Schizosaccharomyces pombe: one gene and its partners. Changing the gene in region 3 together with the main gene of any one other region gives a genetic interaction. Each region holds a gene or a part of one and is shown on either strand. Other genes may lie near its edges.

Region 1 (3,664 bases), 1.2 Mb from region 3:
AAATTACGTGGCCAAAACATTGGTGCTCCTTTGGGCGGTCCTAAAAAGAAGTAATCACAATTACTTTGTGGTTCCGTTTTCATGACAATAAAAAAGAAAATAATGTTTCATTTTCGTTTTGATGTTATCAATATTTATACATAATCCAGGCCTTCTTTAAAATATATACCTGTATATATGTTATATAGGTTTCTATGTATAGTATTTTCAATGTACTTTTTTTCCGTCCAAGTTGATGTTAGTAACTATTGTATTGTAATGACTTTTAGATTTTGACTTGAAATGTATCGTTGTTCATAGCAGGGTAAGGTAAAGCAGCTATATTTGTTTTCATCGGAAGTAATGGGTCGCAAGGCTGAAGATGTTTCTGTTGCTACATTGGTGTCTAAAAAAAACAGTTAAACAAATGACTTATATCAGAAATACAAATGAAGTTTAGTAAAAAGCTTTTAAAAATACGATCAAAGGGGTTTTTGTTCCAAAAAATTGATAATATAAAATTGATAGTTTTAATGAATAAATTCAAGAAATATATGAGTTATGTACACTTTTCAATCTCTAAATATAGGATGAATGTTAAACATTCCAATCGTATGGAATTAAGAGACCAAAAAAGGAGAGAAAGAAAAAGAGGAGATGGAAGTGTTTAAAAAAACAAAACAACCTTGGATAATAACTAGAACCGCTCATCTTTATGAGGTAAAAAAATTATTAAGACTTGAAAAGTGGTAAAGGCCTGTATGTACAAGAGAAATTCAATCAAAGTGCGTGCATGGCTTTAGGGAAATTGTATATACATAATTAAAAAAATGAAAAGATGTTAAGATTAGGAAATTTATACCATACCACCTAAATCGATGAATGCAGTGACCATTGAATATAAAAAAAAAGAGAATGTGTGGTTTAATGGAATATTTGGGAAGAAGAAGCTGTAGGAAGAATTAAATGAGGTGGGGGGACGGGAGGTAGAGAGGAATGGTTGGCATCGTAGTCTTCAACGGACAATCTAGGATTCGTGGGGTTTTGTACACCATATGAATAATCATTGACATTGTCAGACACGAAAACATCTTGCGTGTAATAATCATCAACCATATAAGGACTGGGAAAAGAAGGCAAGGGATCATCCTCATATGTGAATAAAGAAGATTCGCGAGGCACCGAAACATGCTCTTCCCTGGAAGGAGGAGTTGGAGGAAGAGGATGCGAGACAGGTACCTTTTTGCGAGGTTTGGAGGGTTTGGAGGGTTTTTTAGGTACAGGAGTTAAAGCGGCGACACTAGAATATGGAAATTGTAAAACTGGCTTAGAAGAAGCACGGTCAAAGTATAGAGGATCAGTGGGGATAAACTTGAATTGCACAGATAGCTCGCCAGCAAATTGGAACTCATTTTTTAGTTCATACCATTCACTTTGTAACTCTTCTTTCATCGCTTTCTCAAAAGACAATACAGTATCACCAATCAAGTGTGGATGCTTTCGAAATCCCTCGTGAAAAACGGTTATTTTCATAATATGATAAGATTCACTGGGAATGTTAAACTCCAGTACCGCATTCCACGATGGTTCTTGACCGCTTCTCTTATCCGTTTGCGTACGTTTTACCACCTCACCAACTCTGCAAACGCAGTAAGGGCTTTGTTTGCCCACTAGAGCCTTGTTTGGTAAATTTTTCTAAAGAAGACACGTTAGTTTTACAAAACAAATCTTCATCTTTTAAGACTTACAGCTTTCCATATTCGGACAACCAACGTTCCAAGAGGATTCTTTGACATATGGTAGATGGAGAAACGGGTTATAAACAAAAAAGCTACTTTATACAATTCGAGTGCGGATTTTAAGCAGTGCAGCGCAACTTCTGTAGGAGGGGGCTGGTTTGTCTCCGATAACGGGGGTTAGCTTTCGTTCATTCATTTAACGTAGCTTACTGCAATTTAAAATGCTTTAACGGAAATTTGTGTACGCTACGATATTGATGGCTCCAGTTAGGAAATTCGTGAAGAAAGATGCCGTGTTAAAAAAAATTAAAAATTAACAAAAAAAAAAAAAAAAAAAGAGAGACGAAAGTTATCGCAAACAAAAAGAACTTTATTAATATAACTAATTGCATTAATGATTGACTCAGTACACACCACACAAATATATTCACTTAATTTTAATTGTTTTAAAATGAGTGTAAAATATCTATTGGTATAACCAATTCCATCACAATTGCTAATTGAATGGAATGATTTGCATAAAATGTTTCTAACTTAATTTTTTTATTCTTTTATGTTTCACGAATACAAATTTATTTTGTTTTTAAAAAACTTCATTTTCTTTGCTTATCTTTTGGGTAGTTTTCGGATCCGTAATCCCAACAAAATGCCAACCCGTATTGACTAATAAGTTCCCGAAAATGTAAGCAAAAGATTTCATTGTAAAACAAATGAATTAGCTATTAAAACTGTTATTTAAATGTTGTAAGGGTTGGTATGTTATATATACAATCTAAGTCTATGTAAAGACTTTTTGAAAGATCCTACTGTACAGAATTCTCCATAATTGAATTCGTGACAAGTACTCATAATATTTGAAACTTGTATATTATTTCTGCGTATAACCTATCTTTATTTTTATTTTAATTTTATTTTTTACTTTATTTTATTTTATTTTATTTTATTTTTTCGTAGGTCTTCTGGAACTGCTGGATCTATTCATACATTGCTAATTACTCAGCGTACGTACACATCTTACAAACACGCAGAAGTCCAACCTAAAACACTTACCTACATACAACATAATATCAGAAATACACGCAACGATTTAGCTTCATCAAAGATATATTATTTATTCATTCATCGGTTAATATAAAATAAGCTTGAGTTAAGAGTGAAATAAGATTCATGGCACTATACACAAACTCACCATTTTTACTACATATTGCTAACATCATATTTGCTTAAAAAGCACGCACTCCATGATATACCAATAACATCCTACTTTCCGTCCATCCTTTCCCATTCCCCAAACTATCGATACGTTTCTTAACGATACGATAACACAAAATACAAAACTACACAGCAGTACTTTAAGTATCGTCTTGCTCGGTTTATTCCAGACCCATTTCCTTGTTACCCTTCTTCAGAGCCCCGCACGTGATTGGTTAAGTTCAATCATGCAAAGTGATGCAATGACGTCATCTGTTTGAAACAGGTGGAAGTGTGGCACTAGGAATTTACAACTTACCCTTTACTTACAACATAAGAAGAAAGAAACTACTTAGGAAATTGCTAAAAAGTTTACTTTGAGCACTTTTTGAACGATTGAATTGACGAAAACCATTTTTCTGTTTGTAAATTTCAGTTTGGACAGTTGACCGAGTCTTTTCATCATTTATACAGTAGTCATCGCTTAGTTGGATCTGAATTACGAATTCTCTGGTTCATGACGACGACCTGCTACTAGTACGTTTGGTTGATTAAGTCAAATAGGTATGTGTTTATACATGCAATTGTGAAGTTTGATTATGTAAAAGGCTGTAAAATTGGAAGAGCGTGATAAAAACGTGACGGGTTGTGTTGAAAACCGAATTTTTATGAAAATTTGAAAATTTGCTCCTATCGTCATTGACCCTACTAAACATGACGAGTATGACGCTTTCTTATCAATAACACTGATCGTT
Region 2 (10,560 bases), 360 kb from region 3:
GCATGGTATGACAATGCAAATTAATGATAAATGTACTAACCTATTAAGGGGTAAACGAATTATGAACAATATGCCTTATATAGAAATTACCTCTAAACACAATTATGATATTGACTTCAAGTATAAATGGCTGTGTATTAATGAAAAATGCAACAAACTTTATGGAAGGCACTCAAAATCCATCAATCCACAGAAACAAGTTTGTAGGTTATGCAAATCACAAATTAAACAAATTTGCCCCAAAATAAAACAGCCCAATGCATTTCAAATTTTTTTAAAGGAGAATTCTAAGAGACTACGAAAGCTACACCCACACATCACTCACAAGGAACTTATGAAGAAACTTTCAGATGAGTACCACCGTACTAAAGATGCTAAACAAAACGTTTCAAAATCCGTTAGCCTTATCTCTTCAAGCGATTTGTAAATGTGAACGTAATAACATAATCAATATCACATTACGGGCAGACGGTGCACCAATAATTTTTTCTCATGTAACAGACATTAAGTTTGTGTTTGCTCTAACCATCAATCGTTCTTCATTACTTATTTAGATAATATATTCTCAAGTACTAGATACTTAATCAACACTCAAGTCATTTTTTATTTAACAAAATGCAAATATAATAATTATTATTTACCCTAATTGAGAGCATTTCTAATGAGAAATAAGCATCCACATCACACAAATCCTTTAAAAAAAAATAAAATGCTTTAGACAGAAGAATTCTTTGTTGAAGAATAAACAATCTTTGTCGCTGGCTGAATCAGATTAAATTTATCCATTGAAGTTCCAGCAGCTGATTTACCAAACACAAAAGGCAAAATTAAAAGAACAAAAAAGGCAATAAACAATGAAAAGTACAAAGTGGCATAGCGAAGAACTATTTGACGACGAAGTTTGTTTTGTCTTATGGTATAAATTGGGGGTCGAATTTGTCTGCTGGGCACAAGCCAGAATAATATGATCGAGTGAAGTTTGTCGATATAAGGAATCAAAATAACAGGCGCTTGCAAAAACAACAAAAGATGACTTAAAAGGAAATCACCAGCAAACATATTCAACTCTGTAGTTTTACACACAAATTCTCTCCATGGTTGCGTTAAAACCATATATCCAAAACCTTGGCCATTCCAACGTCCAGACCACCAAGCTAAATTGGCACCATCATGACGAAATTCTCGAGACAGGAAACATATGATAAAAAATTTATGAGCAAACCTGTGAATTGAAATGATTGCTACAAATCCAAGTAAAGTTTTTGAAAATGACCAACCTTCCAAATAGCCCAATACTTCAAAGACAACAACATCAACACACACAAAAAGGAAATGGGCCACTCCAGCCAAATATACACCATACGTTTTAGATCTATCGCCGAGAATAGGACGTAACATGATTCCTAAACAGAAAAAGAAAAAAGCAATAATTGCACTTAAAACCAAAGGAGCAACTGACATAATAATCAAGCGAATAAAAGCATTAGTAGATTGGGTCTCATCATCGTTACCAGGTTGGGAATTGATAAAGAGAAATGGAATACACGTGAAAAATAGTGTTCCTAGAGGCCCTAATATTTCACCATAAAACATTGTAGTAATTCTCGCACGCGGGGAATCCATAGCAATTTTATCTGCCTTCTTACCATATATTTTACGTTTATACCCAGTTACTCTGGTACGGCAAAGTTGACAGTTGCCAATCCATGAATTTGCTTGATTGCGTGAATTTTCGCGGAATAGCCAGCGCATAAACTCACGATAATCAACAAAGAAATCGGTCCAGGCGAATTGATGGGGATTGTAAAGGAATGGACTAATGCAAAGAGCAGTCAGCGTAATCCAAAAGTAAATATAATGCGGCAACCAAGCAGTAATTGAACCAAACAATAACATGTACATAAGTCGTGACCCAAAATAAAGTGATGGTCCAGAGAATCGAGAATACAATAGTGAGAACGGCACACGAACAGTAGCAAAACCTCTGCTAGTACCAATATAGCGTGCACCACCAAACGTAAGATTTGCAATTAAACTCTGCGCATATATTTGGCATGTGAAAATTTCAAAAATAGGAGATAGAGAGAATATTTGTTTCGCTAAACGAATAACCATTCGGATGGCACCGCGTTCCCCTAATTCACAAACAGCAAGTGGAACAAAAGCAATACCAAAGACAATGAAAATAGACAAAATACAACGCTTCAACCACTCGAGAACTGGTTTTAATTGATAACAACCTTCAGGGTACAAAGAAGCTGTCAAGGAGTCAAATTGGCGGTATCTACAAACCGGAACAACAGTGTACATTGCTCCCAAATTAATAATAACAAGCATCAATAACTGTAAAGAAAACATGATGACCATGTTATTGACGTGAAATCCAGCGTGGGCATAGAAAAATGACAAAAACCTATCAAACGGTAATTGTGTGCCAAGGTTGAAATATTCTCTTGAAAGCATTTGTTCCGCCATACCCGTTCCAATTTTCGTAGTAAAGTTAAGAATTGAGCCAAAACCCAAGTCACGACCCTTACCACATTGATAGTAATCACAATGCTTAATACGTCCTCCACGTTGAAGAGCAATCATACCTGCATAAATATCTTCATTAACATGCAGACCTTTTTGTGCTTTTGAAACGCCGCCACGAGTAATCATAAACAAAACATTAATAAAATCAGGATGTCCGTAATGCAATTTTCCACCAATCAACGATAAAATACGAGCGAAAAGAGTACCAAATGTTTGTTCCTTTCCAGCAGCTACATCTCCAAGCATACCTGTATTTTCTGAAAAAATGTATTCTCTAGCACCGAGAATAGCTACGGGATGATTGTCAGCAGCTTTGGCATTTACCGAGTAAGGGCTATGTAAGGGAGGAGTAAGTTGCTCAAATTCAGCAAGAATGCTACGAATCTTTAGACATTCTTCCAAATAATTATCCTGGTTGGCATCGATCATTTGTACATATTCACCTCTAATGTAAGGAATAGACATATTTTGATTATCAGATTTACCGTCACCCAAAATTGGGTTACCAGATAGACGAATACGATATTTGGGTCGACGCTTTCCATTTTCCATAATGGGGCAATGACCGTCAATCAGTACAGAATAAAGATGGCGCTCGTCATTATGTCGAGATTGAGGATCTTCATCCATATATGCAATTTGCAAGTCTGGATACGCTCTTAATAAAAATTCTGCATTTTCGGCTTCTTCTTTGGTAAACTTAGCATACCGCTGCATGGAGACACAGAATCGGAACTTCCTGTTTGCCATTAAATCCAATTCTTCATCTAATCGCACAGGGTCACCATTTGTCCATTCGACCAATTCTGGTGTTTCCGTTCTGTATAACAGTTTGATGGCACGACTATAGTTACTGAAACCGTTGATAGTGCGATACAAAGTTTGAGTTCTCAGAGAGGCCCAAATTCTTGTTCTCAAAGTATACTCCGGAGTCGCAGATTTAAATCCAACACAATAGAAAGGAAGGTCATATGCTTTATTTACTCCATTTTTTTCATTGTCGATACTGCCAATAACAGAATCATTTTCATCAGCAAGTAATTTTGTATCATCAACAAAATTTCTCCACTCCACAGGATATAGCTGCTTCAAGTACTCTAATAGAGTTACGCGAGAAAGTTGATCTTCCTCGCGAATAATCTCTCTTAAAGATAACAAAATTTTCTCAGAATAGTGAGGAACCAAAACAGTGAAGGTAGGCATGGCATCAATGGAACTAGTCTTGGGTATTGATTCAGCCAAGGATTGTGCGAAAAAGGAGATTCTTCGAGCAGCTTCTGAATTAGCCGGAAACAAATCTTGCTTATAATGCTTAACCTGTTGGGAGTAGAAAAAGTTGGGAGCTCTAAGAGTATGATAGCCTGCCTTTTCAGAAGGTACTTGATGGTACAACAACTCCTGAATTTGGGTACGGGAAATCAAATGCTCCCTGTACATCGAGATAATAATGGCATTCCAAACTTGAGAAATAAGTACTTTTGGCTTGAAGACAATCTCCATGTCATCGGTATACAACAGTTTTGTATATATTCTTCTGGGAACGCGGTAAAACAATTCTCTCCAAGGAGTCCACACACTGATACCCAGGCAAAAAGCATAAGCCAAAGAATAGATAGTGCTGATAAGAATGTACCATAGATAAGTATCAAGGAAAAACAGAGAAAGATCAGTTAAATACAGTAAACTCAAGAGAATTTTAGGCTGAGCCTTGCATAGTCCAGCTCCTAAAATGTAATCACGGCAGTCATAAGGTCGCATAGCACCCAAAAATCTGATAGAATCTGCCAAATTCAAAGTTAAAAAGAAATAAGATTCCAAGAATTTGGCCACCAAAACTGTAATCCAAAGACACCAAGAAACGAAAGCACCTGTTTTTGAGGTCGGAGTGAAATTGGCGGTGAAAAATCTGTTAGCAAGGTTTTTTCCAGACCTTTTTGTGGTGAAACCAACCAAATTTCGTAACGGCGTAATCGAATAGTAAACTACACAGACCAACGAGAAAAAGAAATGCACAATTCCTACAACCAATCGAGAAGCATAATGCTGCTCTTTCGTAGACGAAGCAAATATGAAAACAACAGGTGCGATGTTTAGAAGTAGCGTACTTATCAATAACAGCATACTCGGCCACAACCTTCTGGCAGAATGATAACGACGAGGAACATGTATATATTCGAAAACCACAGCTGCCAAGGTGATAAAAGAAGCTATAGCACCAGCTAAACCACAAGCTGTCCAACGACAAGAAGCAGGAGGTTTATTATTCAAGCGGATGTGATAATTTTTGGTGTACAAATTTGGGGAATTATAAGCCGAATAATACCAGTAAGCAGATATATGCATTACCCAAATACGTGAGAAATTGGTAACGTTATGGAACCAAGAACGATACTCGTAATAGGACTTATAAAAACATGATTTCCATTCAACATCGGAAAGATGTCGATATCGCATAAACGGTGGTAAATCTAACAACGGAGTTTTATCAGCACACATGATTTCCTGAAGGCCCTTGTAGGACCAAAACAATTGATTAATATCATCATAGCCAATGATTTGAGAATGATCTCTTTCTCGTCTGACGTATTTGCCGTCCAAAATTTCAAACAGCTGTGCATGAATAAATCGATAAATAGGGGTGATAACCGAGTCTAAATAAAATTCCTTGGGCAAAGCAGCATCGACATCTTTAGCTTCCGAAGAGATATAATAATCATAAGCACATTCAAATATAAAACAAAGACACTCGGGAACAAAACGAACATTGTTAGCTTCACCCCAGCAAAGAAAATAAAGGCACACCTGCACCATCATGCGATGGGGTGAAAATGCTGCCATTTGATCTCTCCATGCCTGTTCAGCTTCTTTCAAAGTCATTGTTTCGACAATTGGGGAAGACATATCGTGAAATCCAATGGCATGACCGTCATTAAAATGAGAAGCAAAGTACCACTTTGAAAAATTTGCATGTTCACCACCAATGACATCGGCATGGATAGTAAGCAGTGCCGAGGAAGGAGACATACGAGATGCCCGAGAATCTAAAAGAACCATAACATAATCAAAAATGTTACGCATGTTATCTTTTTGAAAACCAAGTTTATTTGTAAGGTCCAACAAGATCTCTTGAACACCTTCCATAGTAACAGGAGCCTCTTCACCAGCTTGATTCCAAGCCGGATAAGCAACTGAACTGGAATCGACATTAAATGAAGAGCTATCATAATCAGAATGTAATGCATCACGAGAAGAGTTTTTATCGTAAATCATACGGGTCAGAGAGCTCATAGTATCATCGTCAGAGACATAACTATTGGCATCATCTTCAAAGAGTCCACGACCCTCTTGTTCACGCCAATACTGATCCATGATGAATAAATAGACTCAAAAGAAGGAGAGAGGACAAATTTTAATGCTTAAATTAAGAAGAATTGAAAGAAAGAAAAGTTGGAATTTGTGAGAAAGAATGCTAGCAAATGAGGAACGATGTTCAAAAGAAAGAAATAAATTTAAGAGACCTTGAAAAAAAGATTAAAAAGAAAGAAGTTAAGCCTTGGAAAATGGGGGCAAAAGAGTAGAAGAGAAAAAAATTTGTGCTGATTGAAATGAAAAAAGTAAAAGACTTTTTCAAATCCTAAAAAGAAGAAAAAAGGGTGATATATGTATGCCGGATGAGAGAAGACGGCGGAAAAAGCTCTAAAAGTAGGAAAAAGGGTGGGATCACGAAGTGAAAGAGTAGTTAAGATATCGGAGGTTCAAAAGGGAATGAACGGAACCTAAAAATACAGTATGCAAATTATAAAAAAAGAGGCGAAAAAAAAGAAGAAATAATTATAAAAACAACAATAATAATACCATAAAACAGCAAGCACCAAAAGAAGTACTTACAAATGCACACCTAGGAAACTGACCAAATTTTTAAAAAAGCGATTCAAGGAAGGACGTTTTTTTAAAAGAAAAGGAGAAAATATAAAATCGCTTTCCACATAAACTTTAGATTGAACAATTAAATTGTCGTATGCAGAAGCTTATTTACAATCTCTCAAAGCGAAAAAAAAGTAAATGGAGATGGGAAAATGGAAGGAAAAGAGAAGCGAAAGGGTAAGAGGAACCCGGGACAAACGCCAAACGTCCACACAAACACAATGCTACGACAAAAGGTGATCTTGCACACACCGAAAACTTAGCAGTGATGGAGCAACTAACGTAAAGATAATATCACACAAGAAAACTTGGCAAATGTTAAGATGGAGTCAACCTTTTTGTATGGAGGCTAATAGGAAAAAAGAGAGGAAAAAGAAAAGAAGGAACCAATGATAGATATATAAGAAGGAAGAAAAAATTAATTCCGTGCAACAGAATCAAAAATTTGACGTTAAAAAGGATAATTTACTCTAATTAATCAATATATTTTCAAAAATTTTAGAGTAATTCCACTAAGAGAACGGTGAAAATAGCCAAAACCCACCAGTTCCTAGTTTGTTGTCTGCAAGTTGTACTCATTCCGGTTCTTTCAAAACTAACAGCGAAATGGGGAAGGGTAGTGCACATTATTGAGGCCTATTTTAGTGTAAGCAATTTAGAGGCTGGCGTGGTAGGAGGCTCAGGTTACTCACCAACGAGGCACAAGGAGGCTTAAAAAACCATCCCCATACAAAGCAAAGCCATAGCCGGTCAAACAAAGAAAGAATTTATAAGCAGCTACTGTGTAGCATCTTATCAATCGTTATACCCAGCTACCGTTTTAGATGGATACTTTTAACCAAACTAAGGACGCTATATTTGAATTGGAAAAGAAGTAAACAAACTACAAAAAGTCAAGAAAGTGTAGCTGAAACCATAATTCAGTTACAGTGAACATAAGCGACGAGTGTTCTTTTTTTTTGGAATTGTTAAACTAATTTCTAATATGTGATTGTCTACATGGGTGGTAAACAATAGTAAAAATAATACAAAGCTAGAAGGTACCGAATCCCAATTAGCAAAGGTATGATTATTACAGTATAGAGCTTATGAAGAGAACTAGGCATTGGGCTTTTTTCGCAAATCCCGAAAATTGGGAAAATCATAGACGCACAATGTCTGGGTATTGAATGCGTGGGAAAAGTACGGATTTGAATGCTAACAAATCTGGTTAGGATCTAAAGAAGATGAAAAGACAACCGAGTACGAATTTAAAAGCAATTGGTTAATCCAAAGGAAGAAACAATGTGCCGGCATTGGAAAAGGTTTCCATTCCATATTCTGGTTAAGACTTGGATTGGGCAATTTCCCTTACGAATACCCCAAAAACAAACACATCCTGTAAATATTTTTATCTATCAATCGACTATTACAGCGATATTCTTTTAAATCTTTGATGACTATTTAGTTGTCACACTTAAACAACTTCTTACAATCATTTGACTACAACTATTTCTATTGTCGCACCTTCTGCTCTTTTCATTTTCTCCATTTCATTAATTCCTATATTTTCTACTTCTCTAGTTTGTTTTACTTCTTTACACTACCTTATTAGATAAATAATCTAGCACCCTAGCCTTTCTTATCATCTTAACCCCCTGTAGCGAGACTTTTTTCGTCCGGTACCTTACAGGGCTTGGGTGGGCTTTATAGAAAGGCTCAGTACATTTACCACGAGATTTTGAAAAGGATAAATCCAGCGTTTTTTCCTACAAACTATACGTTCCTGATACGCTGTATACGCTTCTTTTTCATCCAAATTTCACATTTTTTATATTTTGGTTCAAGTCTGGGGTTGATTTAAGAAAAATTTTTTTCCGTACTGCCTATTCAGTGTTTCTATTTATATTCAAAGGTGAAATTTTTTGTCTCCGCAAACTTTACATTGCCGTTATTGTCGCTTTGTTTACATTTTGAAAGTCTCAAATTGAATATTTTGAATTTCATCCTTGGCTTTTTTTTATTTGGTTTCCATTTATTTTGGTGATCGGCTTCCTTATTTTTTTTTGCACATTTAGTATTGGGTTAGACTTCAAGTCATAGGAGCCGATTGAATGATATCCTAATATTTGCCTGCTTTTTTAAAATTCTTCCAAAGTTATCTCTTTTTTCTACATTAAAAGGTTTTTTCATTCGTCTACCCAAAACGTTAACGACATTTTCCTTGTATTCTTATCCCTTTAGATTATATCCCATTTTGGTACCCATTACTGTTTTGCTGCATTTCAAGTCAAGCTGATACATTCAAGTGAATCTAGCGGATAATCATATTTTGTATTTCAACCTTTAAGTTTTGCACTTCCTTGCATGCGTCTTTGCCTTCCCTTAATTTTGATTTTTATTACACTGTCAATAATCACGAAACAAGAATATAAGAATAGTCGAAACTCTCACTTTCTTTGCGCCCTTTTTTCCTTCTCCCTTTTCTCCTAATTTTTATTTCTAGACTTCACTGAATTTCCTCGGTTGATTTAGTCAATTGGTTTAATTTTTAATCCTTTTTTTGTTGTTTTTTTACTATTTTGGTTCTTAATTGTCGCTCTTTTTCTACTTCTTATTTATATTATTACCTAAATATTTGGACTCTAACTATGGATATTAATCCTCCTCCTAGTACTGCTCCTTCATCTCCTCGCCGTTCTGTATGTGCTACATAGTGGTTTGGTTCCATTCATACACCCCTTTTCTCCTCGCTAACGTACCATTTAGATACAGCGTATTTCCGATGCAAAAAATAAGGCTCTTACTTTTAATCGTCGACGACTTGGCTTGATAAAAAAAGCACATGAACTCTCCGTTTTGTGTGATGCTAAAGTGGTGGTCATGATTTTTGATTCTAAAAATGCTTGTCACGTTGTATGTTTCATATTTCCCGTTTTTCTGATCCTTTTCTGTCATATCCTTTCAATGTAAAGTGAATACATTATAGGGAAGGTGATGAAGGTCAACAACCAGAAAACGTGGCAATGTTTTTACAAGTTTTTAATATTAACATACACCTCTTTAGTATTCTTCTGAGGAACCGGAAGAGCAAAGAGATGCCTTGCTGCAAAAATTCCTGAACAAGGACTTTGTCACGGTTGACCCTCTGGTAAGTCACTTATCAGCAATCATTATGCTTGTCCTGTATTCTGTTTACTAACATAATCCCTTGGGGAGAAAGAGAAACATAAATCCTAATATACCATCTGATGAATCCCTTCATAATTGGAGACCTAAAGATAAGCGGATTGCTTCTGTTACCACATACAGTGCTCAACCTTCTAATAATTGCTCTTCTGCTACCGACAGTGAAAATGACTTTCAATCTTTCACGATCAAATCCTCTACCACGTACCATACTACTCCAACTACTGCAAGCGAGAACAAGAAAATAGAGTCGATTACCATACCGGACCATGCGTCGGTTTATAATGACCTTCCTCTTTCTCCAACAGTCAAACATTCTTTTGTCTCTCCAGTTTCTGGAGATTACTCTGACTCACCTTTAGAACCGTCTTCTTCATCGTCTTTTTCTGTTCCTCCTGAATCGTTGAATCCTACACTGTCTTTTCAACATAATGATGTTCCGCAAACCGATAATTTTATCCCTTTCCTTACTCCTAAGCGTCAAGCATATGGACAATCATCTTCCCGAGCTGATCGTAGCTCTGTTCGTCGCAGCCAATCTTTTAAAAATCGTCGTAATGGAAAACCGCGAATATCCAGGCTGCATACTTCTCATGCTTCTATTGACGGGCTAACTGATTTTATTCAAAGTCCTTCTTCTGGTTATTTGGATCCCAGCTCAACACCTATAACACCTTTGGACTCTGCTATAAATCAAATTACGCCTCCTTTTCTTCCCGATAATTTGGGTCAAGAAAACCGTGGAGAATTATATTCTCACGATAATCCTACTTCTATGGTATATGAACATCCAAAATTTGATGAATTGCCCAACGGATTTATTGATACTCATGAGTTGAACATACTAAGTCGCTCATTTACAGCATCTCCTAACCAAATTCTTCGCGAATCGAATATGGTTAATCAAGACTCTTTTACCGACAATCCAGTTGA
Region 3 (7,105 bases):
ATTATGCAGATCATGATCTTTGGGCGGATGATGATCAAGCAACTGTTAACCAGAGAAAGTTGGACTATGCACCTGCACCTAAGCTTCCTCCTCCATCACACGAGGAAAGCTATAACCCTCCTGAAGAATACTTAAAACAGTCTTCGGACTTTCCTAAGAAATATAAATCCTTACGTGTTGTTCCTGCTTACTCAAACCTTATAAAGGAGAAGTTTGAACGTTGCTTGGATCTTTATTTAGCTCCCCGTGTTAGACGTACCAAACTTAATATTGATCCAGAATCGTTACTTCCTAAACTTCCTACCCCCTCTGAGCTTCGTCCATTTCCGACACGCTGCACCAATGTTTTCATCGGTCATAAAGGTCGTGTTCGTTGTCTTTCGGTCCATGTTAGCGGAAATTGGCTTGCAAGTGGAGGTGATGATGGAGTTTTACGTATTTGGGAAGTAATGACTGGTCGTTGTGTTTGGAAATGCAGCTTGGACAGTTTTGGTAATGCACATAATATTGATAGCGATGAGGATGCGGTTAATGAATCTTTAAGTCACTCTACAAAGAGCTCTATAATTCAATCACTTGCTTGGGGACCTCTTTCAGATAGTCCAGTGCTTGCTGTTGCTGTTGATGAAACAGTCTATTTCATCACACCCCCGATCTTTTCTGACGAGCAGATTGAAGCTTCTAAAGAATTGTTTACTTCTGCTCCTTACCAAGAATCTAGTGCAATATGGAGAAGAGGAGCCAAACAATCTTTACAATTACATGGTGGTATAGTCCATGCTACTGTTTCTACTCCCAGTAGCATTAAGTCCTTGTCTTGGCATCGTCGCGGTGATTACCTAGCTACTTCTTCTCCTACTTCTTCTAGCCAGGCGGTTCTTATTCATCAGTTGTCAAGAGGTGCAAGTCAATCGCCATTTTCTAAGTCTAAAGGTTCTGTGCAAGCTGTTACGTTTCACCCTACTATGCCTTATCTTCTGGTTGCTACTCAACGATATGTCCGCATATACAATCTTGTTAAGCAAGAGCTTGTAAAGACCTTGTTAACTGGTGTCAAATGGGTTTCGAGTTTAAGTGTCCATTCGAGTGGGGACCATGTCATAATAGGTTCCTATGATAAAAGGCTATGTTGGTTCGACTTAGACTTTTCTTCTAAACCATATAAAAATCTTCGATATCATTCACGTGCTCTTCGCGATGTCTCATATCATCCTTCCCTTCCACTATTTTGCTCTGGCTCTGATGATGGTGATGTTCAAGTGTTCCACGGTCGTGTTTACAGTGACCTTCTGGCTAATCCCTTGATTGTTCCTCTTAAGATTTTGCGGAATCATAAAGTGGTTGATAATGTCGGTGTTTTATCCACATGCTGGCATCCAAAAGAAGCCTGGTTATTCAGTGCAGGTGCTGGTGGAGAAATTCGGATGTGGACTTGAAAAAGGTTTGAAACGTCTTAAATATTTTTGTTTTCTTCACTTGCTTTAAAATTTAGAAAAACTCTACTTTTAAAAATAATGTTTGGTAGTGTTTACTGCAAAAGATACTTTTTCAATGCTGTATTATAGTTTTGCTAACAAGTCGAAAAGATTGTTTTCGTACTTGATTTTGGATATTTAATAGGAATATAGGGGTTTTCGAAAGTTTAAAATGCATTTGTGCAAACTGAATATGTTTTTATTTTTTATTTTTTGGTAAGTTATCTAAAGTATTTAAGTATTACGTGATATCAAAAATCGTAACCGTTGAAATTCAATAGTGCTTTTTATATATCTATAGTTACCTAATCATTAATTGCTTAATTATAAAAATACAGCAAGTTTAAATGCAAGTAAACATGCTGGACTTTGTGGATTAAATGAAATGATTTAAAATCTCCAAGATTTCCAAGACAGCTTTCCTTATAAAGCTAAAATCGATGAAAGAAGTGAAAAAATAACAAAAAAAAAAGAAAAAGAAAGTGATGAGTAAGTCTGAGTTAATCCAAATTAAACTTGACTGATATCGCCTTGCAAGGACGGCAAATAGGGGTATTTTCTATCATAAAATAACCCTCATCTCCAAGTAGGGCATTACAAGCTCCGCAGGTCCAACATTGGCTATGATATTCACCATCAGACCCTTTTACACTGATCCCCAAAATGGGTTTACGGCATTTCTTGCACTTAACAGCATACTTATTATCATAACAAGTCTGACACCAGTATAGGTCGTCACGGTAAATACAGGGTATATTTACATTAAAAACTTCAGAGCAACCAGCGCAAAAATGATGATTTTCATGAAACCAATCATTGTTGATATGGACCGCTTGGTCTTCAATTGGGGTTTTGCAGTGCTTACAGCGAGGACTGAACTGTTCATGATAGTCTAGATGACAATAAAATTTTCCCTCGCGGTAATAAAATCCAACGTGCTCTAAGTTCTGGGAACAAGTATCGCATTTGAAGCATTGAGGGTGTAATTTCTTTCCTGAAGCACTAATTATTCTGCCAGCGCGTAAAGAACCGCCGCAACTATGACAGGATTTTTCAGAATTGCCTCTATAAAGAACTGGTTTTGTAGATGTATGAGAAGATACCATTGAAGGCTTAAGTGAATCTGATTGAAATAAATTATTTGAGGACAAGTTGCTAGGCAATTGTGAAGTGGGGGTGGGCAAAGGATATAAGCTATTAGCAGGAGCAGAATGAAAAGAATGCAAAGCGGGTCTACGATTGGAAAGTTTACTGGATTTCTGTAAAGGAAGAGTAGGAAGTTGTTTGGATGCGAAGGTTTTTTGTCTGTCTTCAATGCAATCATGATCAACAAGCGGCTGTAAACCGGTATGACAATCGTAAACATTTCGTACGTCTGGATAATTAACATGTGAATTCAATTCCTCCGGCGAACTAGGAAACTCATCGTCGTCACTGTATGCAAGAGATGGCAATTCAGGTAAAAGCTCCTTTTTTAAGCTATCGAAAGTAGAAGTAGAAGCAGAGGTTAGTAGTGTTTTTTCCGGCGACGAAACATTAGAACGAGAGAGCTCGTCATCAGGCAGATCAAAACGTACACGATTTTGTTTTATTGTTGGATTCCTCTTGGACAAAGGAGATTCAGGAGTCTTCAAACTTGGTTGCGGTAATGGTGTAGCTATTCGACCTCCAGTAAAGTTAAGTGCTCCATCAGATAACCGAGAACGAACTAAATTGTTTAGCGGGGAGCCATTAGTAGAGACCGGCGAAGAAGGAGCAGCACGAGGACCAGTCAATCGACGTTCAAATCTACAAAAACGAAGTTAGATACCTAATTGGGTAATAACAATAAGACAATAGATTACCTTGGTAATTCTGGAATTGGTGAATGCATTTGCTGATATGCTTCTCAACTATCAGGACACTAATCAACGGAAAGAATTCAGGATCGTTGACAACCTTAAGAAATCAGGATAGCCAAGCTCGCAGGGTATAAATCTAGCCGCAACACTTAAAAACAAGATAAAAAATAGGAAGAGAAGGATAAGGAAGGAAAAACAAAAATCAAGCTGGGATTAACTTATAGAAAATTGTTGCCAACGTAAGGATATATATCTCAAAGAGCGGAGTCCCCCAAAAAAACTAGCTGTATTAAAAAAATGCAATTGTAAGCAAGTAGTTATTATTTAGAAAGCAGTAATATTTGCTTTATCCAAAGTGTTTTAGCTAATAAGTGTTGGCTTTGTTTAAGTGTATATTCCAAAATATAAACAAACATTCGTTGTTATAGAAACCAGCCTCATAATAGGTAACATTGTACCTTTAACGAATACTTAGAGAGTACGTATTCAATGTTTGTATACCAGCAGAAAGTAAAAAAATGCGAATATATTAGTAATTAAAGTGAATTAAGCCATTCCTATGCAGAAAATGTTCCAAACGAAATCAATGTTATTTGTTGGACAATTTTATATGTTGCGATTTCATAATATGGTACAATATCTTTTTATAATTTATTTTTTTTATACTTTGGCAGTAGATTATTGTGGAGCGCGTTATTAATGCTTACTGTATTGTTACAGCTCTTTAAATGTCATTAACTACCCCATTATGCTTTGTCAGGCATACAGCATTTCGCTTATTGTTTCATAAATAGAAACCTAATTTTGGCTTTCAAGCTACAGATTGACCTAAGAAAATTCTTTACCAGTTGTAAGTATAATTGTATAAGAAAAAATATGTAGACCCGTGAGTCTGTTCAGTGTGTAGTTACTTATAAGCGTTGCAATGTGTCGCAAAATGATATTGTATATAAAATTACGATCACACTGTACCACACAAACGTCGTTAAAGGAAAAAACACTTTTTTGACTGTAGATTTGTTAGAAGCAAAAGTGTTTGAGAATAGTTTATGTGCGGAATTCTTTTCGCCTTAGCGGAAGACAGAGATAATCTTCTTGAAAGTCCATCTTTTTCAGCTTTACGAAAAAGGATTCGGGCTAGAGGACCTGATTTTTTTGGTAAGCATAAATTGAATAGCGGACCTTGGAATTTGCACTTTGAGTCAAGCGTTTTGCATTTACGTGGCCCTTCTGATCATTTAACGCCTCAACCTCATGTTGACAGTTTTGGAAACGTTTTGTGTTGGAATGGAGAAATTTGGCAAATAAACCATAGCGATCATCACAAATTTACGCTCAATCGTAATGAAAACGACGGTGCAAAACTTTTTGAACTTTTAAACAATAACCCGGGCGACATTGAAAAAATTTTGGGAAGTATTCAAGGACCTTTTGCTTTTGTTTACTACCAAGTTCGTACAAACACATTGTGGTGGGGAAGAGATCGCTTAGGAAGAAGATCCCTTTTGTATAGTTTACGAGATAGTAATTTCGTTCTCTCAAGTGTAGGAAATTCTAGTGATTTCCGAGAAGTTGAGCCTGGGTTTCATAGTGTGCAGGTGGACTTGATCCCAAAAATTAACTTCTCTAAATCATTAATGCAACTGGAAAAAACAAACCCTCTTCCTCCTGTGGATGAGTCCTTTCTCATGGGCTCAATCTCTTCAGACACTGTGGACACATTGCATACATATCTTATCAAAGCGCTTCAAGATAGAGTTTTAACAATCCCCAAACTGTGCTCTTCAAACCTTGACTGTAGTCATTATAGCCGAGTTTGCGTTCTTTACTCTGGGGGAGTGGATTGCGGTGTATTAGCACGGCTAATGCACGACATAGTTCCCAATAACGAGTCCATCGATTTAATTAATGTGGCTTTTGAAAACCCAAGATTTACAGAGACATACCGTGACAGAGAGACGGGACTTCTTCCTGACAATTTTGATGCATACGACGTATGTCCTGATAGACAAACTGGATTACAAGGCTGGCAGGAGCTTATTTCAGTTTGCCCTGCTCGAAAATGGAATTTTGTTGCTATAAACGTTCCTTATACAGAAGTATGTGAAGCACAGGAAATAGTCAAAACACTTATCTATCCGAACGATTCAGTTATGGATCTTTCTATTGGATTAGCTTTTTATTTTGCTTCACAAGGGCGTGGTGTACTTTTACAAAACGTGGATGATATCAAACTGAAACATCAATTACCTTCCTATACTATAAAAGCTAAAGTCCTCATCAGTGGCCTGGGGGCTGATGAGCAGCTCGGTGGTTATATGCGGCACCTACGAGCGTTTGAACGGAAAGGTATGGCCGGTCTTGAAGAAGAACTGCAATTGGACATTGATCGTATTCCACATCGTAACTTGGGCAGAGATGACAGGGTAATGTCTAATCAAGGGAAAGAGGTGCGTTATCCTTTTCTCGATGAGCGTCTGATGGCTTTGTTTAGCAAAATGAAAACTACTGATAAAATGCGTCTAGATTTAGTTGGAGGTGACAAACTAATTTTACGTGAATTAGGACGTCGATTAGGTTGTCCCTTAGCTAGTCAAGAAAAAAAGAGGGCTATTCAGTTTGGTTCTAAAGCAGCAAAGATGACTCCTGGAACCGGTAGAACATCAGGTCGTAAAAAGTTAGAAGTTTGTATTTAAAAATAATAATAATAATAATAAATTATACTTGAGTATTTCATAAAACTACAAATGTTAACTCATCTCCAAAAGGGAATCAATAGATGAACTAAGCCTTCCTTGTTGCGCATTTAACACAACTTCAATCACTTCACTGTCAAACGCTGGAAACATAGCTCTTAAAGCCGTAATTGCTTCAGCCTTTTCCCGAGCTTGTAGCCTTTCAGCTTCAGCTGTCTCAAGAGACGCTGTTGTTGCCTCTCGCAGGTCATCATTTTGTTGTAATCCATCATCCACTGGCTGCTCTTCATGAACGATGGGAGAATGGGTAGCAGACGAGGAATATGCACGAGATACTCGATAGGGAGGTCGATCGCTAGAACCAACATACTTGTTTGAGTTTCTGCGTGATCTTTTTCCAGAATCAGTTGTGAAAGAGCCACTATGAGAAGAGCTCTCGGCCTTGTGCTACGAGGATATTCTTTGCTTTCAGGAGTGTCTATTTGCAAGTATTTCATATTTTCAAGCTCTTCTGGTAAATTTACCAATGCAACACCAGTCGATACATCTATGGATGATGAAAGTCCTCGAGAAAGAACCGGATCCTTGTAGGTTGCATTCTCGTTTACGGCCGTTTTTGATTCAGACTTTTCGCTCAACTTTCTCTCTTCCATCTTCTTGATCGACTTCTCTATTTGTGCATTAAACTCTTCTTCCGTTATAGTTAGAGAACTACAATCCAGTGTTTCGATGAAGGACATAGCTCCCATTAGAGTAGATAAATAGTACATAACTTCTCCCGTGAGTTTTTCGGGAGAACGAAACCTTTGTATGTATTGAATATTAGATACTAAGTGGGCCGGCCTTGCTTGAAGGACTACAAAAATCAAAATGGGAACAAACATATCCGCTGACTCCTCTTTAACAACGTTTCTTAGGTAGCTAAAAATAACCTTGCAACAGTTCAAAAGACAGATAATCTTGTCCCGGGGAGCGTGGTAATCATTTATTCTTCTTAATTCATCAGCAGCAAGCTTAAAGAATTTTGAGCTAGATTTTTGCTTTTTTATATCTAAGTTCTCCTCTGTAATCCATTGAAATAGTTCCATTTTCT
Region 4 (8,553 bases), on a different chromosome or scaffold from region 3:
CTCCTACCAAAGTATTCAATAAAGGTGAAGCTCTGATTAAAGTGCTTGATCCAATTCCTACGGAGGGGAAAACTGCTGAAGATGTGAATGATCTTCTACACGAGACTGAAACCGCTATGAACAATGCATTGGTTGAAATCGATGACTATGGAAAGGTAAAAAAACAGTAAATAGGAAGAAGACACACAATTGGTGTTCTTATATAATTACTTGTTAGTTCAACTGAGAGAAGCATTTACCTATCCTAAGGTGGTTTGTTTCGTTTTAAATCAAATAGGTTTGATAATATCATTGACGCTTTTCTTTTTTTGTTTAGAACAAGCCGTACTTTTTATAAATACCTCTATGAATAACTGATTAATTTAGCTTTACGATTTATTTGGCAGTTACTAGGTAGTAGCTGGTTATGTATATTGCAAGATTCCCTAAGTACGAATCTCGAGAAACGCAAGCCATAGTAATTTATATAATTCACTGTGGATTCGAAGCGAGAACAGTTTGTTTGTTCAAATTTCCAATTGAACCAACGTTTTATCTATTGCGACTTCTTATTAAGCAGTACAATATTAGAGACTTAACTACAATGATAGCTATATCATTCTACAAAGTGTCACTGTCACACCTGTATTATTCCTTAAAAGGTACAACATCAAGTATAATGTAAATAACACAGCAATAACAAAATAGAAGTTGCTTTGTAGCAGATGGAACGCTAAATATTTCATTTTTGTTGCTAAAGCAGTTTTAATAGAATGAACTATTGTGCTACTATAGTGCATCCCAGTGCATAAACGTTTAAGTGCTAGATAACATACCGAAGTGCAGCAAATTGAATTTCTAGTAACACGCTAATTAGTTTTTCATTCCTTTAGTGTAGAATGAAGGAAAACACCGGAGCTCCAGAAAGACTACGATACGACAACGTACTTCTCTTCAAATTTTCCATATATTAGAAGCTGCTAAGGCTGAAACGGAAATCAAATTTTGCATTAAGCAATTAGGATTTTTGGTGCAGCTTTTCAACGTAAATCGGAACGAAGCATGCAGCTATACTCTTCGGAAAGGTTTGTGCAAATTAGGGTTAAATAAAAAAATATTTTACATTTTGGCCATATTGGACCGTTTATTAATCATTAATTGCAGTGAATCCGATGATTCTCAATATTGGGTTGATTGGTTTTTAGGACTAAAAGGAAACGAATTTTTTTGCGAAGTCGACGAAGACTTCATCCAGGATCGCTTTAATTTGACTGGATTGAGTCATGAAGTTCCACACTACTCCCAGTCTTTAGACCTCATTTTAGATGTATTGGATCCTGATTTACCAGAGGAAGTACAAGATGAGGTAGAAGCTAGTGCTCGTCATTTGTACGGCCTTATTCACGCCCGTTATATCTTAACGGCTCAGGGTTTATATAAAATGGTAAGCAATTATGTTTGTAAACTTCTAGTTTCCTGTTTTTAAGTTTGGATACAATCTTCGTGAACAAAACAGGCATTAGACAAGTATAATGGACACTAAGTGTGTAACTTGACTTATCTTTCAATTCTTCAATTTTATTACATTTATGTCATACCGTACTATTTCGTTTTAATTAGCTTTGGATTTTGACTAACATCCTTTCTAGCTTGAGAAATACAAAAAATGTGACTTTGGGCATTGCCCTAGAGTTTTATGCAACGGACAGCCAATGTTGCCCGTCGGCTTGTCGGATATTGCCCATACAAAATCCGTTAAATTATACTGTCCTCGGTGTGAGGATGTGTACACACCAAAATCACAAAGACATGCATCCATTGATGGTGCATATTTTGGAACCTCATTCCCTCACATGCTTTTTCAGGTATACCCTGAACTTGCGGTCCCTAAATCTCAAGAACGCTACATTCCACGTATTTTTGGTTTCAAAGTACATAGCTATTCTGCTACCTTTAAAAAACAAGATGTATACAAAGAAAAGCAAAAAAAGCGTTTACAGGGAGCCGAAGCTGAATCAAAAAATAAACTGGCAATAACTTAAAGGCATTTTGCTTAATCTTCATTAACAATAGAAGTTCACCCGATTCTTCGAAGTCCCATAATCACCAAGGCAAAAAATTTTATTTACATTATAGCTATGACAGTTTTTACTAGAATGAACTTTTACGTTTTTAGATTTTTCCCGAAGCATCAGCTCCTTTTATCTAAGAGCGTAATTTTCAAACTTCTAATCATCATTGAAGCTAAAACCTTTTATGCTTATTCAGCTTTGAACCTCTTTTTTTACTTTGATAATTGCTTTAATAATTTAGTTTTGATCATGACATATACTGTGGTTAATATTTATCCACTTCTTTCATCAAATTGTTAAATTGATCGTAAAGACGAATGTCCTTGGAATCAGGCCCTTCATCGAGAAGTTCCAGCGCTGTCTTCAGTAAACGTTTTTCGGGATCCAGACTCACCAGGTAGCTAGATAACTCCGTACAAACGTCCCAGTTTTTTATTTTTAAAGCCATTTCGTATATACTTAGAAAGGTAGAAGCACAACTGGCTGAACCCTGATGGATCTGCCATATTATCAAACACTCTGCGGCACTTTTAACATCTTCTGTTTCTAAACACTTTTTCATTAAGTCTTTTGGTTCTCCGAAATACTTAAATATCATCGGCCAGTATTCAGCTTCAGTTTTTCGCAGGCAACCCAGAACGATTTTAAAAGTGGTAAACTCTTGCAAGTCTTTAAATAATAAGGATACTTCATAAAGCAATTTATCTCGCTGTGATGAGTTGTAGGTCAATAATGATGAAGAAAGTAATTTTTCTAACACAAAATTGATATAATGCAAGTGCCCATATGTCTTGACTAAGTCAATAGCTTGCTCACGTTTATCTAACAGTAATAGTGCTCGAACAATTTCCGGAAGGAATGGATAAACACCTATTTGGATATGAGCGTATTCCATCTTATTAACTAAGTTTTTATGACCCTGGGTATAAGCAGTTAATAGAAGTCCATAATTGCTTAATACAGTCAGCAAACATCCCTGAGATTCCAGATCTATACATTCCTTTTGAAACTTTTCAGAAATATTTACATTTTTAATCAATTTAGCAAGATGTGTGTTATCAAAGTTACAATCAACCCCATTTTTGTAGACAAAGCTGGGCGATCTGAGGTCTTCAACAGATAAACGATGAAAATTTTCTAGAGATACTCTTTTTGATGTATTGAGAAACTTTGGAAGGCCATCTATAAGGTTTTTAGTATTTATCAAAACAGAGGAAAGGATCTCGCTAAAAGATAACCATAGCTTAAGTCCCTTTCCCGTCATGATCCATATAGAATGAAATAATGAAGGGATTTCTTGACTTCCATTGATAAAGTAAAACTCAACGTCTCCCGCTAGCATGCTGCACTGATATAAAAGCTCTTTAGAATGTTGTTTTTTTAGACTTAACAAAACAAGTTTTCCATTAATGAGAACCAGAAGGACTGCATAAAAAAGTAAATCAGAAGGTTGAATATTTGCAAGGTCTTTTGGTAGTAATAACGTTATGCTTCGAACTCTGGATGGAGTAGTGAATATTGGAGCAAAATTTACGGATGTTAAATAGTCGAGTTCTAATCTTCCTAATTCGTTTATATCGAATCTGATGTGATGGAGGAAATTATCAGCTGTATAGACAACCAAAGAATATTCGTCGCAGACTGACATTGTCACAATTGTTGAAGTAAACGATAATTTAGCCAAGTTTTCTCTATCGTCTAAAGGCCCTTTTGCTTTGTATAGGTGTAGCTCAAAGTTGGACTCGCAAACAACACCGGCTAGCAAAAATTGTGAGCACCAAATCATTGGACAAGTAACACTGATTAATTGTTCCATATTGGCATCTTTATATAAGAACCAGGTCTTTTTTGAGCAAACATATATAGCTAATCCATGAAGCCCAGCGATTGCTATCAAACTTCCATCATCTTTGATAGAAACATATCTAATAGGCCATTCAGAAGCAACATATGGTTGAGGATACTCAACTTGATCCCAAAAGTCAATGCCAAAATTGTTTTTAACGCTAGAACAAAATTCATATGACTTCGAAATATATAACCGATCGCTAGTTTGAGCTCCACAAACTTGCAAGGTGCTTTGTACACTTGAAACTATGGTGCTCTTTAAAAAAGGTAAAATATAAATAGTGCTAATAAATTGTTTAGAATCCGTAATACTATATAAGACATCATTTGTATTGTCGTTTTGTGACAAATACTGGATATCAACGTTCTCTTTTTCCATAGCAAAAAACTCGTCGTTTTCTTTTAAGGATTCGGCGATAATCGGAGTAGATAATCCCGTTCCCTCAGCTTCACCTGTAGAAGAAAAATTTTTAGATCCTAGTCCATAAAAGGAAGAACTATCTCTATCCCAAAAGCCACAGGATAACCCAAAATTAAAATATTCAGTTTCACTACTAGCACAACACAAGTTGAGATAAGGAGACAGTGTAGCCCAACCGTCATCGTATCCAACCATAACTTGATGGCCATCACCTGTCGTAGCAATATGATTAACCTTTCCGGAGCTTGCCGAATATTTAAAAGAATGAGTTTGAACATATTGGCGACCGAAATCTCGTATTTCATAAGCATACACAGTTCCATCGGCGGTACCAACATATAAAAGAGAAAATCTGGCATTTGTAGATAAAACAGTCGCCTTCTTTTCTCTAAGCTTGGATTCCAGGTCCTCATTAATGTCCTTGTCATTATCTGACTTATTCAAATCTACAGGGTTATGTACGCAAAGGCCAAACAGACTTTTCGTATTCGTGTTGGAAGAAACACCGATATTGGCATAAACTCTTCCATCAGTTGACATCCAAAAGAAAGTGTCGATTTTAACATCGAAATAGAGTCGAGATATGAGAGAAGAATGATCCAGAAACCAAGTGACTTCTCGTAAATCGTACTGTTTACTTGACACTTTCCACAACTTATTAGGGTCAGTTGTTTCCAGCGTTGAAACCTGAATAATTGGTGCAGAATCTGCAGCATAAACGATGGAGTCCCTTTGAATCTCCAGGCATTTAAGCCCACCTCCATATCGCATAGCAAGCTTGTATTGGATTTCACACTTTATAGGCCCAAATATTTCGCCAGGTCCATCATCGTATCGAGTTAAATAAGGACTTGGCGTTAGTACAGGCTTGGAAGCATTTAAAGTGAAATGATAGACAGCTACATAGTTCTTTTCAGTTGCAACCGCTATAATTCCGTATTCAGAGTTAACAGCTATTTTTTTGTTCTTTCCATGACGTTCAAATAAGTTCTGAGACTTTGTTATCTTTGATATGAGTGTCAAGGGTCGAATTTGATATATTAAAATCTCGGTTTCAGTCAAAACAACGAAGAACGACACTTTAGGGATTCGACATATTTGTATTGCTCTGGAGGACAATTGTATTCTCTGAGGTGTTCCATGAAGGAAGTACATGAATAGTTCACCTTATTCGACAAGGAGTTTAACCATTTCCAAGGATGCTGAACCCTTTGAGAACGTAAGGATCAACAGTTGACGCTGATGTTCTACCACCATTTTCGTTAAAAAGTGCAACAAAAGGAACAACTTAATTCGTTAAATAATAATTTCGCAATTTGTTAATTTGCAACTTGCATATCAATTGAAGGATACTTATATTATTGTATAATGGAGCTGATATTTTATTTACTAGATGTCAAACGAATGCAGTAATCTAGGAAAAAGCTTCTAGTCCATTTTTACTTTAGGAATGGCAAATTATGCTCTGCTTTGTTAACGAAAGTATTGTCAAATTGTACAATAGATTAGCCATCAGCTATAAAATTACAATAAGGCTTCAATTCATTCATTGGTACATGATTTCCTATTCATTTCCCTAAATGAGAGGTTTGAAAAAAGTTAATTATAAATCGAATAGACCTAAGCTCGGTTCAAGATTTCAAAAACAAGACAAAGAACTTGATTGGTTTAATTAATTATTCGCAAAAAAAAAAAACGTATTTGAATTCGTGGGTTCTATGCAAAAGACCGTTATTAACATTATAATAGCATACCCTTCCAAAAGATATTATCGCGTGAAATCACTGCCAAGAATGGAAAGCGGCATACAAAATCAAACAAATGTTCCACATCGTAATGGACATTAACAATATGATGAATAATACAAAGAAAGAGAAAAAAGCAGTAAAACGGAATGAAAATTTTACCACATTAATATTTCACAGACAAAAGCTTTTGCTTTTGTTCTTCAGACAAATCTAACAAAATCGACAGCAAGTTCACAATTTCAGGCCGACGATCCCTCTGTTCGAGAAATTGGAAAAGAATGTTGCGTGTGTATTCCTTATCTATTAGCATGTCATCCGAGCCAGGATGCTTAGAATTAACTTCCACTGACGAAGAAGAGCGGCTTACAGAACTGTTTCTCCCATGGTTAGAAGGTTGTTGCTTACGTAGTTGATTGAACACATTTTTGAATGACTTTTGCAGGTGTTCGTATCGTGCTGTCGAATCTTCCAAATTCTTGAGAAGTGTTTGATTTTCATTCTTCAGGGCCTCCAACGATAAACCGTTATCGGGCTCAACTGATTGAGTTTTCACGTTGGAGTTTTCAAAAGAAATGGCCAGCTCCTGATACTTTTTATTAGCTTCATTCAACTTAAGTTTCAGTTCATCTATTTGAGAATTTAGTTCATTAATTTTCTCCTGGAAACTAACGCATTCAGCTTGGGAGTTAGTCAGACTGGATTCTAAGCTTTTAATCTGAGTTTCGTAATCAGAAGATAGGTTCGAGTAATGGTTTTCACCAGCCTGCTTCAAATCTTGACGTTCCAATTCCAATTGCTCAACTAATAAACGTAATTTCTGACTATCCTGCGTTTGTTCACGGAGTAATTTACGAAGTTCAGTCAGTTCTTCCTCTTTGTTTTGCAAATCTTCCTCCTGTTCTTTCAGTTGACGGTCGAACTCATTGTTTTGTTCTTGTAATGAGGTAAGTTTATTTACCGTCTCTTTCATTTGAAGTTGCTTTTCCTGTGCACTGGAGAATAGTCTTTTCCGTTCTGCTTCACTCTCGGAGACTGTTTGTTTCAAAGAAGTAATTTCGTCTTTAAGCTGACTATTAGATGTGATGTAAGAATCAAGTTCTGTCTGCATCTGCGTTCGGGATTGAAGTAACCTACTTTTGAGTGATTCAGCATCGTTCAGTTTTTTAATATTCTTTTGATTTTCTTCTCGTATTGTTTCACATGACGATTCTGCCCACAGTAAATTTCTTCTGCATTCGTCAATTTCGTTTTGCAACTTTGTAATATAATCGTTTAAGTTATCAACTCTAGACTTCAAACTTTCAGAGTTCTGCTTAAATTTTTCCGAGTTTTCCTTTAAAGTACTTTCGGCAACATGTAACTGCTTAGTAAGTTCTTCAACAAGCTTTGGCGTTTCTAAATCTACGGTATACTCTTTCGGTTTCAAATCCAAAAAAACCAAAGGAATGGTATCTGCTAGGTGTATTTTATGGTGATGAAACACATATTTCGGCCAGTTCAATAATGTATCTAAATCAGTGAAAGAAAAATGATGCATTGGTTCCTTGGCATTGGCATTAACAATCAAATCATCATTAGCTATGTCTCTTCGTTCCTCTTCTTTACTATCGGCAACTGTATCTTGTTCTGCATCTACATCTTCACTTTGTGCTACCTTTTGTATGTCAGGCGTACTAATGGACTCGGAAAGCGCATCATTCTCTGTAGTCGCTTCTATATTTTGTTTAGTTGACTTTTTCTTTTGATTTTTACGATTCCTTTTCTTCTTCTTCTTTGATAAAGCACTGCTGACACCTATAGTATCAGTTGAGGGCCTTGAAACTTCGGGAACGTCATTTTTTGTCTCTACTGTTTTATCATCTTTCAAACTGGAAATAACCTCCTGCTCAATGGATTGTGCACTTTCCAACGAATTAATCTTCTCTTCAAGTTCCGAGCATCTTTGTATTGACTTTTCTAGCTCATCTTTTTTCTGTAGAATTAAACTGTTTTGATTACTTATTTCAGAGTTCAGCTTTTCAATTTGATCCTCGAACTGATGTTTTAAATTCTCCCGATCAGTCTGTAAATCATTCACTTCATGCGATAATCTCCTAACTTCGCTAACTGTCATTTCATAACGATGCTCTAAATTCTCCATAAATTCACGGAATCCTTCTAAGTCTTGAATACTTGACAACGGAGTTTTCTCCTGTAGAAGCTTTTGAAACGCTACAACGTTATTTTGTAGTTCATTCAATTTTTGTACGACGGAGTCCATATTTTTCGCGTCCTCTTCATTTTGAGAGAGCTTATTAGAAGATTTATTATTTCTTCTTAATTGATCTTCTTCTTGAAACTGCCTACGTCGATTCTTAGCTTCTTCCTGGCCTTGGGCCAGTGTCATGTTCAATTGATCTTTTAATCTTCCCAGCATTTTGATTGATAACCAAGAAAGAAAGTACCCATAGATTAAATCGTATAATGTTATTTAATCTTATACGTG

Evidence for each region.
Region 1: mutations in pxl1 (region 3) and fic1 are lethal when combined (synthetic lethality), as found in Schizosaccharomyces pombe (2 studies listed by BioGRID).
Region 2: mutations in pxl1 (region 3) and bgs1 are lethal when combined (synthetic lethality), as found in Schizosaccharomyces pombe (2 studies listed by BioGRID, with this or other methods).
Region 4: mutations in pxl1 (region 3) and ric1 impair growth when combined (synthetic growth defect), as found in Schizosaccharomyces pombe (one study listed by BioGRID).

What each region holds. Positions count from the first base shown.
Region 1 is NC_003423.3:1,542,992-1,546,655, forward strand, and holds fic1 (contractile ring-membrane anchor Fic1), read right to left. Parts: upstream 1,785-3,664; 5' UTR 1,776-1,784; coding exon 1,728-1,775; intron 1,675-1,727; coding exon 904-1,674; 3' UTR 501-903; downstream 1-500. Other genes in the region: multiprotein bridging factor Mbf1, read left to right, coding at 1-54. UniProt on the Schizosaccharomyces pombe protein: Involved in the ingression of the plasma membrane during cytokinesis, leading to the separation of the daughter cells.
Region 2 is NC_003423.3:2,350,340-2,360,899, forward strand, and holds bgs1 (primary septum and spore wall linear 1,3-beta-glucan synthase catalytic subunit Bgs1), read right to left. Parts: upstream 7,026-10,560; 5' UTR 5,905-7,025; coding exon 715-5,904; 3' UTR 583-714; downstream 1-582. Other genes in the region: SPOM_SPBC19G7.04 (protein-DNA covalent cross-linking repair protein), read left to right, coding at 1-5, 49-427; DNA-binding transcription factor, MADS-box Mbx1, read left to right, coding at 9,090-9,140, 9,208-9,354, 9,506-9,589, 9,662-10,560. UniProt on the Schizosaccharomyces pombe protein: Alternate catalytic subunit of the 1,3-beta-glucan synthase (GS) complex. Synthesizes 1,3-beta-glucan, a major structural component of the fungal cell wall. Required for the assembly of the division septum and maintenance of cell polarity.
Region 3 is NC_003423.3:2,708,755-2,715,859, reverse strand, and holds pxl1 (paxillin-like protein Pxl1), read right to left. Parts: upstream 3,693-7,105; 5' UTR 3,349-3,692; coding exon 3,320-3,348; intron 3,264-3,319; coding exon 1,976-3,263; 3' UTR 1,653-1,975; downstream 1-1,652. Other genes in the region: erb1 (WD repeat/BOP1NT protein), read left to right, coding at 1-1,436; asn2 (asparagine synthase), read left to right, coding at 4,366-6,012.
Region 4 is NC_003424.3:4,501,367-4,509,919, forward strand, and holds ric1 (Rab-specific(Ryh1/Ypt6) Ric1-Rgp1 guanyl-nucleotide exchange factor subunit Ric1/Sat4), read right to left. Parts: upstream 5,516-8,553; 5' UTR 5,476-5,515; coding exon 2,317-5,475; 3' UTR 2,120-2,316; downstream 1-2,119. Other genes in the region: 1-acylglycerol-3-phosphate O-acyltransferase Slc1, read left to right, coding at 1-170; CK2 family regulatory subunit Ckb1, read left to right, coding at 1,042-1,064, 1,144-1,423, 1,629-2,021; grp1 (GRIP domain-containing protein), read right to left, coding at 6,232-8,484. UniProt on the Schizosaccharomyces pombe protein: Probable component of a guanine nucleotide exchange factor (GEF) that may be required for efficient fusion of endosome-derived vesicles with the Golgi.